Linked DNA regions of Daphnia pulex. The protein of the gene in region 1 purifies or fractionates together with the protein of each later gene. This does not show direct contact. Links are inferred from orthologs where the notes say so. Each region holds a gene or a part of one and is shown on either strand. Other genes may lie near its edges.

Region 1 (10,804 bases):
AGTCTTAATCTCGGAGAACTCACAATTTGAACTTACAATGGCTAGCGGTCGTCACACAAGTTTTTAGAACACAACAGTAATCTCAGCACGCGGGAGTCGTATGAACTTGCTGACAATTCAATGAAACGTTGAAAAGGCAAGACGGTGCTCATACGAATTACGAAAGGCAAAAAGCAGTTGCGGCGCACAAGAATGAGAATAGAAAGAAGGCCGTTTGACTGCGTCTTCCAGCGGTTAGTATTCATTAACTTGCATTTAGCAATTCAATATGTTTACACTATGATGACACGAAATTTAAGAGGTGTAAAATATTTTAATTAGAATTTGATTGTTGCAAAATTAAAGAGTTTTGGTTAGTTTTCGCAAAAATCTAAACACTGAGAGTCATTATAGGTGGCGCTACGTACATGGCCACCAAAGTTTGACCCTTGATTTAGTTGCATAGTGGGCCTTGTACTTCAGAACTAAACGCAACACTTACGTTTACTCCAAAATTCAATTTTTGAATTGTTGTGTTTTCTTGTTTGTTCAGGCAAAGTGGCTGACAGTTTATTTTTCAATATGAAAAATGTTCTTCTTTTTCTGAAATAGTTAAAGATTCGAGATATTTTTTGTTGTAATAAGTTTCGCAGTCGTGTTAAACAATGGGCCCTGGTCTTGCGAATTCGAGTGGGAGTTCTGTTGAAGAAGATGATGTTTTCAGTTCTCAATTTGCTGCTCTTCTTAAGCCAATTCGAGAGCTTACTAAACAAGGATGTTGGGAGCTGAATATAGCTGATAAATTGGAGGAATATGTCCAGTATATTCAAGATTTGCGGATTGAAGTTAATGTAAACGGGGAGCAAATGAAGCTAGATTTTGCTAAGGCTGCTATGGTTGTACAGAATAGTGCACAAATCTATAGCAAGAAAGTTGAGCAGCTCTGGCTTCTTCTCCAAGAAGTGATTGAGTTTTTAAGTTCGAATGGGTAACTAAAATCATGTACTGTACAATGTTTTACTTTCTAATAAAACACATTTCTCTCTACTCTCTATAGGAATGGTAATGAAAATGATGAAAATCAAACACCTGGCTCCAAGATAAGAAGAAATCACCGAAAAAAACATCACAAAGGAGATGTAGATCTTATCACAGAACCAATTCCACTGAAGTTTAGAAAGTTTGGCTCAAAATTAAAGAGAAAAGCTACAGCCAAAGACACAAAAAAGATCCAAACTTTACCGTATGAAATCTTGCAACTAGAAGAAGTTATAGGAAGCTTAAATTCTGTTAAAATTAAACTCTACACACTTTCAAACGAGCATTTGGGTTACCCCTCTGATCTAAGATCTAATTTCCCCTTTGACCCTTACACTTTGTTTTTGCAAATCCATCACGCAAACGGATTTAAAGTACATCCCGAGAGAGATGTCCTTAACGAAAACCAAGGTAAAATGAAAAATGTGGATATTTTTTTCCGTTTATTAATTTATTTTATTTTTAACGAAGAAGCTGAACATTCCGTCGCAGATTTGGTGCCAACCGAACCAGTTCCTATAACGTCTATGCACCAAGATGATCTAGAAGTCGAACCTCCTAACTTGGATGATTGGCAAAATGACGGAGAAATGGCCTCAGAAAACGAAATCATTCCAGATGACCTCGAAGAAAACGGGAACTCCAACGGTTTAACCGAAGAAGTTGTTGAGAGAATGCAACTACGCCAGAGAGCTCCGGCTCCAATTTCTGTGGTACTCATTAATTCTGTTTTTTTTTTTTTATTAGAACGAATGTGTAATATTTTTTTAGATAAATTTTTTATTACATTATTGATCATCTTTTTACAGGAGAATCAAGTAAAAGAAAAAGATCCTTGGGGTGGTATGGATCCCTATTCCGAAAGTGACGCTTTAAAGAAACCTTGTGGAGCTCCGGTTCGATGCAAGATGCCTGTTGCCTTGTAAGTTCCGATTTTCGGTCAAACTGCTTTATTACGTCATTTATCAAACAATCGCTTACAGGAGAAAACGGAAAGGGGTGGGGAAGGTTCCCATAAATGAAGAAATTTGCGTTGAAATAGACGAATTTCTAGGGAAAAGTCAAATCGTTAAAAAGCCTGCCTTAAAATATTCCCAGCCTGATACCGAATTCTGGGAAGATTACGTACACTTTACGAAAACAACTGGGACCGTCATTAAAAAACAACAAAAACTTCGGCCTGAAAGTCAGTATATTTTGAATAATTCGCAAAAGAATGTGGAGTAATGTGTCCTTTACTCCTATCAATAAAGAAAATATCGCGGAAGGGATCGAAGAAATGGACCAACAGGACATCAATAACGAAGACGATGACCATTTCCACAAAGATACCCCAGAGTTTGAAAATAGTTTTGACAATTCTGGTGGTCTTGGTAATAATTCTTAGTTCTCCAACTTAATCTCTCAAATTGAGATACTCACTCATCAGCCCCCTCCCCCTCTCTTTTTTTTTTTCAGATGATTCATATGACGGTTTTCATCCAGAACTTGTTGGGGATCCGGTAGAACCCACAAAAGAAATGGATGAATCAAAACAGTTTTTTGAACTTGTTCAGCAGTTTATGGCAGAGTATACTGCTTCCGCCAAAGTACATACGATCCATTTACTTCTGATGAAACATTTATAATGAAATCGGTCGCATATATTTTTCTTTCAGGAATTTGTAACGTCGACTGAATCGACCCGCCGAGTTCAGGCGTGGCATGATATGATTCAACCGAGACTTCGTGAGGCCGAAACGCGTCGTGATTTTGATATTCACCTTTATGGAAGTCGCATTATAGAGGAATTCGGGTCTGATGCGCCTATAGGAAGCCAATGTGCTTTTACCAAAATTGTTCATGACCAACCGAAAAACGAAGTAGCCAGATATTTTCTCGCCACTCTGCAATTAGTAAGTTTCATAAAAGCTACAGTTCAATTTCGTTTTGATATGCAATTTTATTAACAATTATAGGCAAACGCTTACAACGTGGAAATTCAACTTCAAGATGCTTTAACTCTCGATGGAGTGGAACTAAAACTCCTATCTCGAGAGAGGCATCACGAACACATGGACGATTTCATCTGATGAACTGTCAGCAAGATGTTTGGTCCTAATAGTCCATCAGGGAGAGACGGCCATATCCACGTCGCTGATATCCTTTTGATTTCCTCCATCTTTTGATATATCTGCGATAAAAATGCCATTCCATTAACATACCTTGTTAATAATAAACAATTTGAAAGTTAACCAGGTTTTCACTTTTACGTACCGTGCGATAAGTCTGAAACATCCTCAATGTCCTGATCCTCGTCTTCGACGTCTTCTTCCTCTTCAACTTCCATGTCAAATATGCGAACCTTCCTTTTTGACGAAGAAAAGATAGCGGCAACCTTTCGACTGGACGATAGACCGAGGGTAGTAGCCTGAAAGTCGTTTAAGACACGAAACGAGCTTGCTTCAATAAAGGTATTGACATCCACTGATCGAAGATTGCCTTGGCTGAGAACTGATGAAACGAAAACGTCTGAATGGAAGGACGAGTTAAAAGGTCCTCGCCGTGACACAACGGGAGCCAAATGTTCGCGTAACAGACATAGACTGAGTTGTACGAAGATGCTATTCGTGCTGCGTTCGATCGAAAGCAAAACTGACATAATCTCGTTGTTATAGAACTGCAGATCAGCTATTTTATATTCGCCAGGAGGTAGATGGTCGCACTTGCCAAAGGAGAAGAATGCTGCTCGAGTCAAGTTCTTACGTTCCTTCTCGGAGGCGAATTCAAACAGGTAAAATCCTGAAGAATGAGTGGTCGAATTTGTCAAGCCAAGAAGATTACACCGATCTTTTGGTTGGTTGATGGATCGTGTTGTGATTCTGATCTTGTCCAGACTGTCCGAAGGACAATCTAACGTCAGGTCGGTGATAAACGGCAACGACGCAGTCTGTCCAACAGCTGAAGGGATAGCTTCGAAACTGGCTTTGACCTGATGTTCCAAATGGGCGAACTCTTGAGCAAGAGAGCGTTCAGCACGGGGTTGAAATAAGTCCGAGTCCTGAAGATTCGCAATAGATGGACAAGCTTCTATCAACATGTCCCAGGGTCTAGTTTTAGAGCTGGCAACAAAAGTCAACGGCTCATTCCTCAAATATTGCCCAATACGATCCAGACGTACTTGTCCATCGGTCTCAAAATCTTTGGCGAGGAAGTTGGCGATAAACCGTACATCTTGCTGGGTACTGGTGGCAAGCTCGGGTGGGATAGGCTCGTCCGAGAGGCGCAAGATGGTAACGTAAAGCCAGCGGAAGAATGTCTTGAGGTACTTGACAGAACCATCGATCACCTGTTGAAGCTCAGCGGTTTTGGCGGTAAAAGAGCCGGCCGCCCGGTATGCAGCTAAACACGAATTGACTTGGAGGCCGAGGCATGAGAAACGATCTTCTTGTTTGGCCAGCCCGCAAAGTTGTGTCAAATAGTGCGACAGTTGGTAGTTGGCACACACGATGTGTTTGATGAGCAGTTTCTGCATGTTGCTATAGGATAACTCTACGGCTTGGCCGATTCGTTTCAATCCTTTGTCAGTCAAATCGGTAACAAGAAATTTCTCCAGCTTGATCCCGGCGTGGCCAAACATCAGGAGCTCCATCAAGTCGACAGATAAGCTACTCTTGCCGTCGTTGCTTTCATAGCGAACCATTTTCGATTCGAGGTCGACTAGTGCATCCTCCCAGGCTTCTTGTAGAGCTTTCTGAGCACTGATTAGGCAGTCCATGAGGCCAGTTATCTGCCGATAGAGAAATCCTAGACCGTACAACTCTTTCAAACAATGAGTTATGAGTGGGGTTTCCACAGTCATGAGTAAAACTTCTGAGGATCCGGCACGAACATCGGCTAGTAAACACAGTTGGCTGTGATCACCATTCGGGAAAACACTTCGTACAGGTCCGATTGAATCGCTCCCACCACTCATTTCTGAAAGTTTTAGAAGGCAGCAAGGAAAGAGTCCAAAGGCGAATCCGTAAACTAACCCATTCTTTAGTCCAATCCACAAAATGCTCAGTAATTCTTCATGTTTCAATCCTTTGTCGCCATCAAGTGCTGACCCAGCATCTAGCTTTGAAGAGTTAACTTTCAATGGTTGAGGCAGCAGTTCTGGCAGCAAAAAATTGTCTGCCTCTTCTTTCACACTTGTGCTGCAGTTTTCCCAGGAAAGAGCTGTGATGGGTTCCTCACATGGGTTGAATGTGTGTACTACTTCTCCAGATTCAACGTCAACTAGAACCACATGCCCAGAACTGTATCCTACAGCTAGTATCACACTGTCTGGTCTCCAAACGATCGCTGTGACTTTGACACCATCACCTCTTTTAGAAAGCTTCCAAACTTTGCTCCATGACAACCTTCTCAGAAAAACCTCACCTACAAGAAAATAACATACAAAACAAATTTTATTATCATAGTAACACAATGGGAAAAAGAAGGATTGCAAGTTTTCACCAGAGCTGTTTGAGACGGCAATCAGATCTCGTCTGGAAGACCACAAAAGGATTTCTGTTGACGCAGTTCCAAGAATGTGTTTTTCGTCACTCTGTCTCATCATACACGACACCATTTTAAGCTGATTGTGTTTTTACACGACAATCTCGATTAGACAGAAATTAAGGAACATGTATTTACAACTTTTCGAACTTTTTTTCGGTTTCTTCTCTAGGCAACTTGAGTACATCTAGCGGTCGATTTTTAAACTGCCTGGAAACATTCAGATTTGAATTCTACCTTTTTATTACGTGTTACCTTCAAGTGTTCAACGTTATTCGCTTTTTATTTCAGTCACCACTGGAGGCCAATTGTATCGCATGGCTCTTGACGTCCATGGCTGTAGTTCGTTAACTGAATAAATAGCCACACAGTGTGATAGAATGTCTCCCCAAATTTATTTTTTTAAGGCATTTGCCGCCGCATCTTTTCAACAAGCATAAGCTCGTCTATCCGTAAATGGATGCGAAATTGAATTCGGGTTTCTGGCAAATAGGATAATCTCTTGGCCAAACAGAAACCCAGTTGATAACCTCACCACGTAAAAAATGAGCGCTATTCTTAGGCATCGAGGATTAAGCGAAGCATCGCTCCCGTGCGTTCGCGGGTGCTAAAGAAATCGATCGGAAAATAACGAACTCCCTTTGCGACACGATTATTTACCTTCATGAGAGTTTGCTCTGTTTTCTGCTTGTCTTGTCGCCGGTCGTTGATAATAATAAAACGTCATGCTGCTATATACAGTAGCAGTTGCCTAATATTTTACCGCACTTAGCCTTAGGAAAACGTGTGGGCGTTGACGGGGTCTCCCATTTCGTGCAATGTGCAGAAGCTCTCACGCGCGGGGGGAACACTTCTGCTCCTTCGGAGTGGCACAACATTGATTCATTATTTATTCGTTATCAGCGAATTTGTGCTTTTACGTCTAGACGATTGTGTTTTCGTAGCAACTTGTAAACGAAATAAAAAAAAACACGTAGTCAGATGGGAGAAAGAAAAAGTCGATATCCAAATAAGAAAAATCATCTTCTCTAAATGTATATTGTACCAGTACCTAGCCTATATAGTGCTCCTGAAGAGGATGAGGAGCAACAAGAACTTCGATTTCCACACAACTACTTTCTTTTGCTTGCTGACGTTCTCCTGTTCACACAGTTCAATGATTGTGGATTATGCGTATCAGTGCTCGTTATTCGTTGGACTCTAGAGACTGGAAAAAAAGGCACGATTATGGAGTTGGATCTTATTTGTATTCAATGCAGCAGTCTAGCGGGACCACCAACGTTCTGGTCGGTTTGAGGTGACTCCGGGGGGACACTGCGAACGGCGGGGTAATGCATAGCAACCACCGTCGATATAGACTCGAAATAATAGGAGAAAGGAGAGTTCATCCGTGCCTAGCCAACAAGCAAGCTTCATCCTATATTCAACAGAGATTGAATATTATTCCAACATTCTTTTTTTTAGGCGATTCGGATTTGTTGTCTTTACTAGTTCCTATTTTTAGTCTGGCAGTGATTTTTCCGTTATTTGACATGACCGTTTGTATACATGACTGTCGGGCCGAGATTAGATCATTGGTTTCGCTTTGACCGAATGTGAGACGCTTGAATCGCGCGTTTCTTGATGCAGGCCGACACTCATCAATTCAACGGCAATCGCGTAATTCTCCTTTCCATTCACCAGATAAGCAAACAGCACAGACTATTCAACACAAGGACAAACAGAAGAGAAAACGTGGAAAGGAAAGCGTAGGCGGAATAATATCAATTTTCTATCCCCTTTTCTTTTCCGCATTTTCATTTTTGATGTGCCTTTGCCTGTTTTTAAAAGAAAAATCAATGTTTAAAAATAGAACATAGTACCGCCGTCAATGTATTGCATGATCGATCTAATGTGCCTACGTAGATATCCTTAATGGAACCCTTTTTGTCCAAGTTTTTGTCCTTTTGTTGCTTCTCGACTCGCAAAAAGAAAAGAGCCTGGTAAAAAGAAATCAAATTTCCCCAGCTATATTAAGACTTTATATATAAACGTCCGCTACGTATTTCCTATCCAGAGTTCACGTTTAAAAGCGTCCATGTAGAGCATAGACTTTACCTATACAGTAGGTGTATTGGGTGCACGGGTCTTAATGACGTACGCCCACCCAAGTGTCGTACACCTCTTGATCAAAACCAGTAAGGTCTCGTTTCCCGTTGTGAACTTCAGTTATAGCACAACATTAGCCTTACTCGTTTGTTGTCGTATAAGATACGATCAATGGGCGCATCATCAAATCACTGTCATCGACGAATCGTTTGTTTGACAACGCCAAATTATAAAAGTCGAGCCGGATTCTGTACTCTTCACGTAACGCAAGTCACCGAGTTAAACGAGGTGACGTCAAACTTCGTCAGCGCCAAAACTGCTATACGTGTTTTACATGCTAAAGTCAATCCCATCATTTTATTTCAATCAAAATTACTATATAATCAAGGGGCCTTATAACGGAAGACGAAAACCAGTCGAAACTAGGTCTTTCTCATAACAGTAACTTACGATTGGCATTAAATTTAACCCTTCAACATTTGGGTCACATTTCTCCTATGAAGAAAGTAGATTCTTCTCCTAGGACACCAGAGCAACATCGGACACGGATGTCACTCCCTGCCACCTGATACAGGTTACATCCCATTTTAATTGGATTAACGAACCAACACCCTAGAAAAAGTTCGGAAGAAGAATAAAGAATGTATGGGGAGAGACGAGAAGTTATTACAACTAGTTAAACAAATGGATCGCGCTGGAGAGAGGGGGAGGGTATACATAGTATATACGGGGAAATATATCAGCACGCAAAGTTTTCTCTTTCGCATACATTTCCCGCTACATCCATCAGACAGCTTTTTGGGTTTTGATGTAGTAGATATATGTTGCCTTTTAGTCACAATGTTTTATTACTATTGATGCGATGATGCCGATAATAAAACAGGGTATAGATCGGCGGTCGCCAGTCACGCATGCAAGTCGTATGTATCAACGTGACCGTTTCCATCAAATATAAAAAGGTGAACCTTTGTGAGCTTTTTTACGGCGTGTGCCGACGTGCTGTATAAGTTCGGGCGTCATGATTGTTCGCCAGTCTCCGTTATTGGGCGCGGTATCGTTTCGTTCCGACTGTTTCTCCCGATTCGTCTTCATCAGAATTCGTTATTAACTGCTCTAATGGATGGTTATTAAAAAAGACCCTCGATCGTTCAACGTGAATATCAGCAAGGCAGTCATACTAAACCGCTGACGTACAGTCGTCCATCATTCAATTCAATGGAGATTAAAAACACTATAGTGGATTATGTACAGGACTGTTGGTCTTGATTCGTTATAATTCTAATCAAACAGAAGTCGCTGTATTATACCCGCACAATATCCGTCCAGCTTATGGACTTACATAAGCTGCATCGTATTAAGAAGAAGGTGAAACCCATTTAAAAAAATTAAGAAAGAAAGCAAACTCTATCGGGATGAGGTACGCATAAGAGTACATAACCGAAGGACTATACGCGGTGCATGCATGATATGCGCCACCTCATCTTGGAGACCTTTCACGCAACAGCATGGCACAAGTGCTGATGTGTGGGTGACATCAGTTCTATTTCCGAAGCGTGACTCTACATTGGGAAAATGTTTCTCTTTCTTTTGTTTTCCTTGGACTTTTGCTTGTCCTTTTTTTTTCCCCCACAGAAGCGACAGCGGTATGAACGGACGTAGACGCACATAGTTCTTGCGGCCCCGCCAACGCATCACGCATTAACACCGCTTGCTGCACGGAAAACAGGATTCCCGGCATTCTCTGGCCCTCTCCTGTCGTTGGGTGCCCGTTGGCCGCTCCATCAGTGTCTCCAGCTGCTGACGACCGCTTTGTTGGGAATTTTCTGGTAGCTACAGATGAAAAGTCGTCAGTTTAGATGGCCACTCGTCGTCGTTACAAATACATATAAATGCTAAGGCGACTTTTACGAAGGTCGAACTGGTTTCTCAATATGCCCTCAGCAGGTCACGTATACACGATCCTAAACGCCCTCCAAGCTATGCGCATTGTGTGAAAGAGTATACTTTTGGAAGGATACCAAGAGTGAACAAATAAGGTACTGTCAAATATTCTCTGGCGTCGCGTCTCGTATAAATATCCGCAGCGGACGTTTACGGTACAATACCCACATCTCGATGCCGGAATCGTGTAAAGTGGAAATCGTCTTCCGCTGTGAAACAAAAATAAAAGACACCACCAAAATGACAGAATATAAACGGCGGACCCATTGTCGACCGATTGCCCGCACTTTTTCGTCTCCATTTCGGGACAACTTCAACGTCAAGGAAATGGAAGGACCGAAATAACAGCACAGCGGAGAAAAAGAAGAAGAAGAAAAAAAAAACGGGATTCCGGACGCGGATGAGTGGGAGTATAGCAGCACGTCCTGATTGCATATTGTTTATAGGATGACACCCCCGCAAGCGATGATGATGGCAACGTGATAATTTAATGGTGCGCTTGGCTGAACGGAGAGAATAAGAACGGAGACTCTCGGATGACGCCCAGAACTCCGGGATCTGCACGGAAAGAAGAAGAAAACCCACACGGCAATGGTGATCTATATGGATTTCGTGACAGTCAAGGAATAACTTCCGGGGAAAGTCCGGGCCAAAGTTGCTGTCGTATAAAAAAATAAAAGATTTTGGCTGCTGTTTCGTGCTGATCTCACAGCTGCAGCCCTTGTTGTCTTTACTTGGAATTGCAATGAACCTCTTGGCTATATGGCGCAACACTGGCAACAGCAACTGTTTCTCTTTTGAACGGTGACGTACTGAATAAATGAATGAAAATAATAATCACATATAGATGGAAAGCTTAGATTATATACGAGGTTGGAAGTAAAACTTATTTTTTGTGTTAGATACGATTGTGTAGCAACACCTTGAGGGAAAAACCCTATGACGTCGGTCAATTGTTTGCCGAGGCCGTCGCCATCCGCTTGGCTCCCGTGTTTGTCTATTTGATGGCAAAAATGCGACAGAATCAGTATAGAGAAAAGAAGAAGGAAAATAAAAAAGAGGTTGCCGATGTCTATAGCTACGATTTCGTATGCAGGAAGAGAAAACAGCCGACGGGGACGAATCAACATTGCGGAGCGCGGGCGAAAGCTCTCAGGTTGCGGCGGCAGAGAAGAAGATGGAACGTCAACACACGGGAGACCACCCGTAGGCGCAAACGTGGAAAAACTTTCCG
Region 2 (3,600 bases), on another chromosome or scaffold:
TCTGCTTTAAACGAATGATTAACACGAAACACTGTAAAGAATGCTAACCGTGAAAGTGCGAGGTGTATGACCAATATGATGAAGAGAGCTAGCAGCTATATTCATGGCTTCTCGACTTCGCTGAAGCGCTAGATAACAGTGAACTATACCACGATAGATTTCGAATCGGTGCGGAGCTGTCTGTAATCCTTCCCTATTATCATGTTAAACTTGTTGTTAATATTACTATAATTTTTTTTTAAATATTACTAAAATTTAAAAAATATCTCAATAATTAAAAAATATATTTCAATAATTTTTTTTTAAACATCACAGGACTTACCTAAAATGTGTGATAGCTTCAGGCCATTTTTTAAGCTCTTGTAAAATCGTACCCTTAAGGATTAGGGGCTCTATCCCAGGGGTTGGAATGCAACATGTGCAAGCCTATGAGAAATATGTTTGCGCGGTTTTTAAAACTATTTGTAATAAGACCACATCGGCATTGCTATCTTACTTTATGCGCAAGGTACAGAGCGCGAGTTAGTTTGCGTGACAAAAGATAATGGTATCCCATGGCCACCTAATTTGATAAATTAAAATTAATACAGGAACAAGGGTAATTAGAAATAAAAAACAAATAATTTTACCCACGATTCGAAGCTAGAATCAGAAACAGAGATTAGCTTGAGAGCTAGTGCTTCAAGTTCAACACTTTTCTTTTCATTCGCTAAAATGACTGCTAAAATATCCATTCCTTTTAGCGACAAAGGATCGAGGGAATGCGCCTGAACAAACGCAAATATGAGATGAGCACCAGATATTTTTTTTCTCAAATCATTTAACATACTCGTTGAAGCGGTAGAAGGGCGCCCGCTCCATCCCCGGCCAAGAAAAGGGTTGTTCCTTGTGATACCAAATTTGTTACATCATCTTTGAGCAATGATGCATCTTGCAAATGGCAAAAAATGGTAGAAGCACTCAAATATTCACAAGAATGAAGATGGCACTGTCCTTTGATCCACTGAACAACCCTTCAGAATTTAAGGGAAAAAAACGAAAATAAACATTATTCAACAAAGATTTACATTTTATACATATGAGCCTACTCACCAATCTAAGTTATTTGATGGGTTTCCATTAAAAATTAAACGAACAAGTTCAACATAACTAACTCCAAGTTTAATCAAAGCCAATATAGCTTCTAGGGCCAAAGGACATTCACGAATAACCTCTTTAAAAGCAGAAATGGCTGGGCGTTCAAGCCCATTCATAACATACAACTTGCCTAAAGCCATATTAACCCTAACTGATCGTAGTTTGGCTGGGATCCCTTGAAGGACAAGAAGTGCTTGCACTGACTGTTTTAAAGCAAGGTGGCATATGTGCATTTGATAGCGAATCTCTAGAATTGTTATTTCAAACTTATTTAGGAAAAACTTGTTTATACTTTAAAACAGAACATCAAACCTGTTTCAGCTGAAAGCTCTTTGGCAGCACTATTTCCCATCCCCCTTTGTTTAGAAAGGGTTTTTCTCAGATCTAGGGCTTTTCTGTAATAAACTTCTGCTTTTCCATATTCCTTTTGTTCAAGGAATGAATCTGCAAGGTACACCATTGTTTGGGCAATGCTTGCAGGAGGTAAAAGCTCAGGATTGTTATCAGTAGCTGAAAGAACCATTGGAGCCTGTAGAAAAATTCCAGATATTCATTAGATTGGTAATTAGCATAGACTACACTACTTCGTAGTCTATGGTAATAGAATGAAATCTACACTGAACTCATTCCTATTGTCATACTCAAGGTAAAAGTCACCAGTAGCACTTATTCAAAATGGAATAATATGAGTTGTAGGAGTAGATACTACTGCCCAAACAAAAATATAAATGATATAACTAAAACATTTGTTAATATTTATAGCATTGCAATACAATGGTGACATTTAGCTATCGATAACATTCACGGAAAGCACAAGAAACTATATAGTTACCAGAGCAACAATATTTGTATAAAGTTTGTTATCAAACAACATTTGAATTTGCTCGTGAAGAATCATAATGACTAACTCTGAAAGTAATATATATACTCAAAGAGAAGAAAAAAACTATAACACAAACTTGATCAGCAGTCACCAATAAGAAAATCACAATATAAAGTGGTAAAGTGCAGAGAAGGGTTGGAAACGCGTAAAGTGCGGGATTATCGGTACGGAGAGACAACAAACAGCGTAGGCCTACCGGCGCACCAGCGTACTGAATGCTGAATCTACTAATTTCGTTAAAATTATTTAAAAAATTAAATTATTATCTAATCAAATTCAACATTCAGTAACAACATTCAATATTTTACTAACGTAAAACAATGTATATTTATTTTATTCCTTCCTCGACGAGAAACAGGAAAGAGAGATGCAAATAAAATTAAGTGGACGCTTTAATTTAGGGAGCAAAGTGTGGGAACATAAATATAAGAATAAAGTTATTAAAGGGAGGACGATGTTAGAACATGAACGGATTCATCATCGCCATTTGCTGTCGAAGCATCATCATTTGTTGCTGTCGTTGAAGCAAGAGCATTTGCTGCTGATGCATCATTTGTACGGCCTGAACGCTCATTGCCGCATTGCTCCCGAACGATGAATAAGGTAGACCACCGGCGACCATTGATCTATTGGGATCGGTGTAGTATCCTTGGCGGTTGGGGTTGCTTGAAGAGGCCAGATTGGCCAAACCCAAGAGTTGAATCAACGTCTGGTATCGTTGCAATTCCTGTTGGCTTCTGCTCGGCTGCTGCGCCAGGCTCATCTGAGAGAAGCCCAACTGTCCTTGCTGGGCCAACGGATTGACCATCATGGCAGCTTCCTGTTTCGTCACCGTCTGCTTGATTTGTTCCCAAAGCTGAGGACGCTTAGCCGGAGGCTCGTTCAGAAGCTGGGCCATCAGGATTTGTTGTTTGTTAAATTGCTGAGCTTCCGGTTTCACCTGCTGCTGGAGTACCTGCTGCTGGACCAAGAGCTGCTGCTTTTGCGCTTCCAGGTTCTGTTGAAGTTGCTGCAACTGTGGATTGAGCGCCGCTTGCATCACAGCACCAGGTTGGTGGCCGTTCACCATATTACTCTGATCTATAAATGCAAGAATGAAGGAAAAACAAGATAGAGGTCAATCAACTGATCAAACGGTTCTTAATGGCGTGAACGGAATTCGACTGTCATTTGTGTGTCACACGCATACATACTTGTTATGGCTGCCTGTGCTGTTGCAATCTGGTCTTGCTTGATGTGAACCGAAGCTAATAGACCCTGCTGTTGTTTTTGGTTCTGCAAATGGAAGTTTTCCTGTTTCTGTGCCTCCAGTTCGGAGGCTATGGACATGGGGTTGTTGTTGGAGTTGGTCATTTGCTGCAGGAGGGCCAATTGCTGAAGAGGACTTTGCATTCCGGCCGCGCTTCCACCGCTCAGCCCAGTGGCTCCTGTCGGCACGTTCGCATTGAACTGGCGACTTTTGACATTGGACGACTTTTCGGCAGGAGACACCGGCGCCGTTGAGTTGGCGACGTCTGGCTGAGGTAGCGGAACAGCCAGAGTGAATCCATTCCAGACGGACGCCAATACAATGACGGCTA

The links.
Region 2: the proteins of anaphase-promoting complex subunit 4-like (region 1) and anaphase-promoting complex subunit 7-like purify together in Homo sapiens (affinity purification with western blotting; 14 studies listed by BioGRID and IntAct, with this or other methods). This does not show direct contact. The link is inferred for Daphnia pulex from reciprocal best matches to the Homo sapiens genes ANAPC4 and ANAPC7.

What each region holds. Positions count from the first base shown.
Region 1 is NC_060021.1:8,250,359-8,261,162, reverse strand, and holds anaphase-promoting complex subunit 4-like, read right to left. Parts: upstream 5,868-10,804; 5' UTR 5,615-5,867; coding exon 5,500-5,614; intron 5,422-5,499; coding exon 3,274-5,421; intron 3,252-3,273; exon of another isoform or gene 3,191-3,251; coding exon 3,126-3,190; 3' UTR 3,090-3,125; coding exon of another isoform or gene 2,976-3,089; 3' UTR 2,940-2,975; downstream 1-2,939. Other genes in the region: condensin-2 complex subunit H2-like, read left to right, coding at 645-967, 1,037-1,428, 1,489-1,730, 1,827-1,939, 2,001-2,203, 2,271-2,390, 2,476-2,606, 2,676-2,912 and 1 more. UniProt on the Homo sapiens protein: Component of the anaphase promoting complex/cyclosome (APC/C), a cell cycle-regulated E3 ubiquitin ligase that controls progression through mitosis and the G1 phase of the cell cycle.
Region 2 is NC_060017.1:4,025,344-4,028,943, reverse strand, and holds the start of anaphase-promoting complex subunit 7-like, read right to left. Parts: upstream 2,213-3,600; 5' UTR 2,036-2,212; coding exon 1,970-2,035; intron 1,667-1,969; coding exon 1,450-1,666; intron 1,385-1,449; coding exon 1,093-1,384; intron 1,014-1,092; coding exon 830-1,013; intron 768-829; coding exon 630-767; intron 563-629; coding exon 497-562; intron 427-496; coding exon 323-426; intron 194-322; coding exon 49-193; intron 1-48. Other genes in the region: myb-like protein K, read right to left, coding at 2,478-3,100, 3,214-3,597. UniProt on the Homo sapiens protein: Component of the anaphase promoting complex/cyclosome (APC/C), a cell cycle-regulated E3 ubiquitin ligase that controls progression through mitosis and the G1 phase of the cell cycle.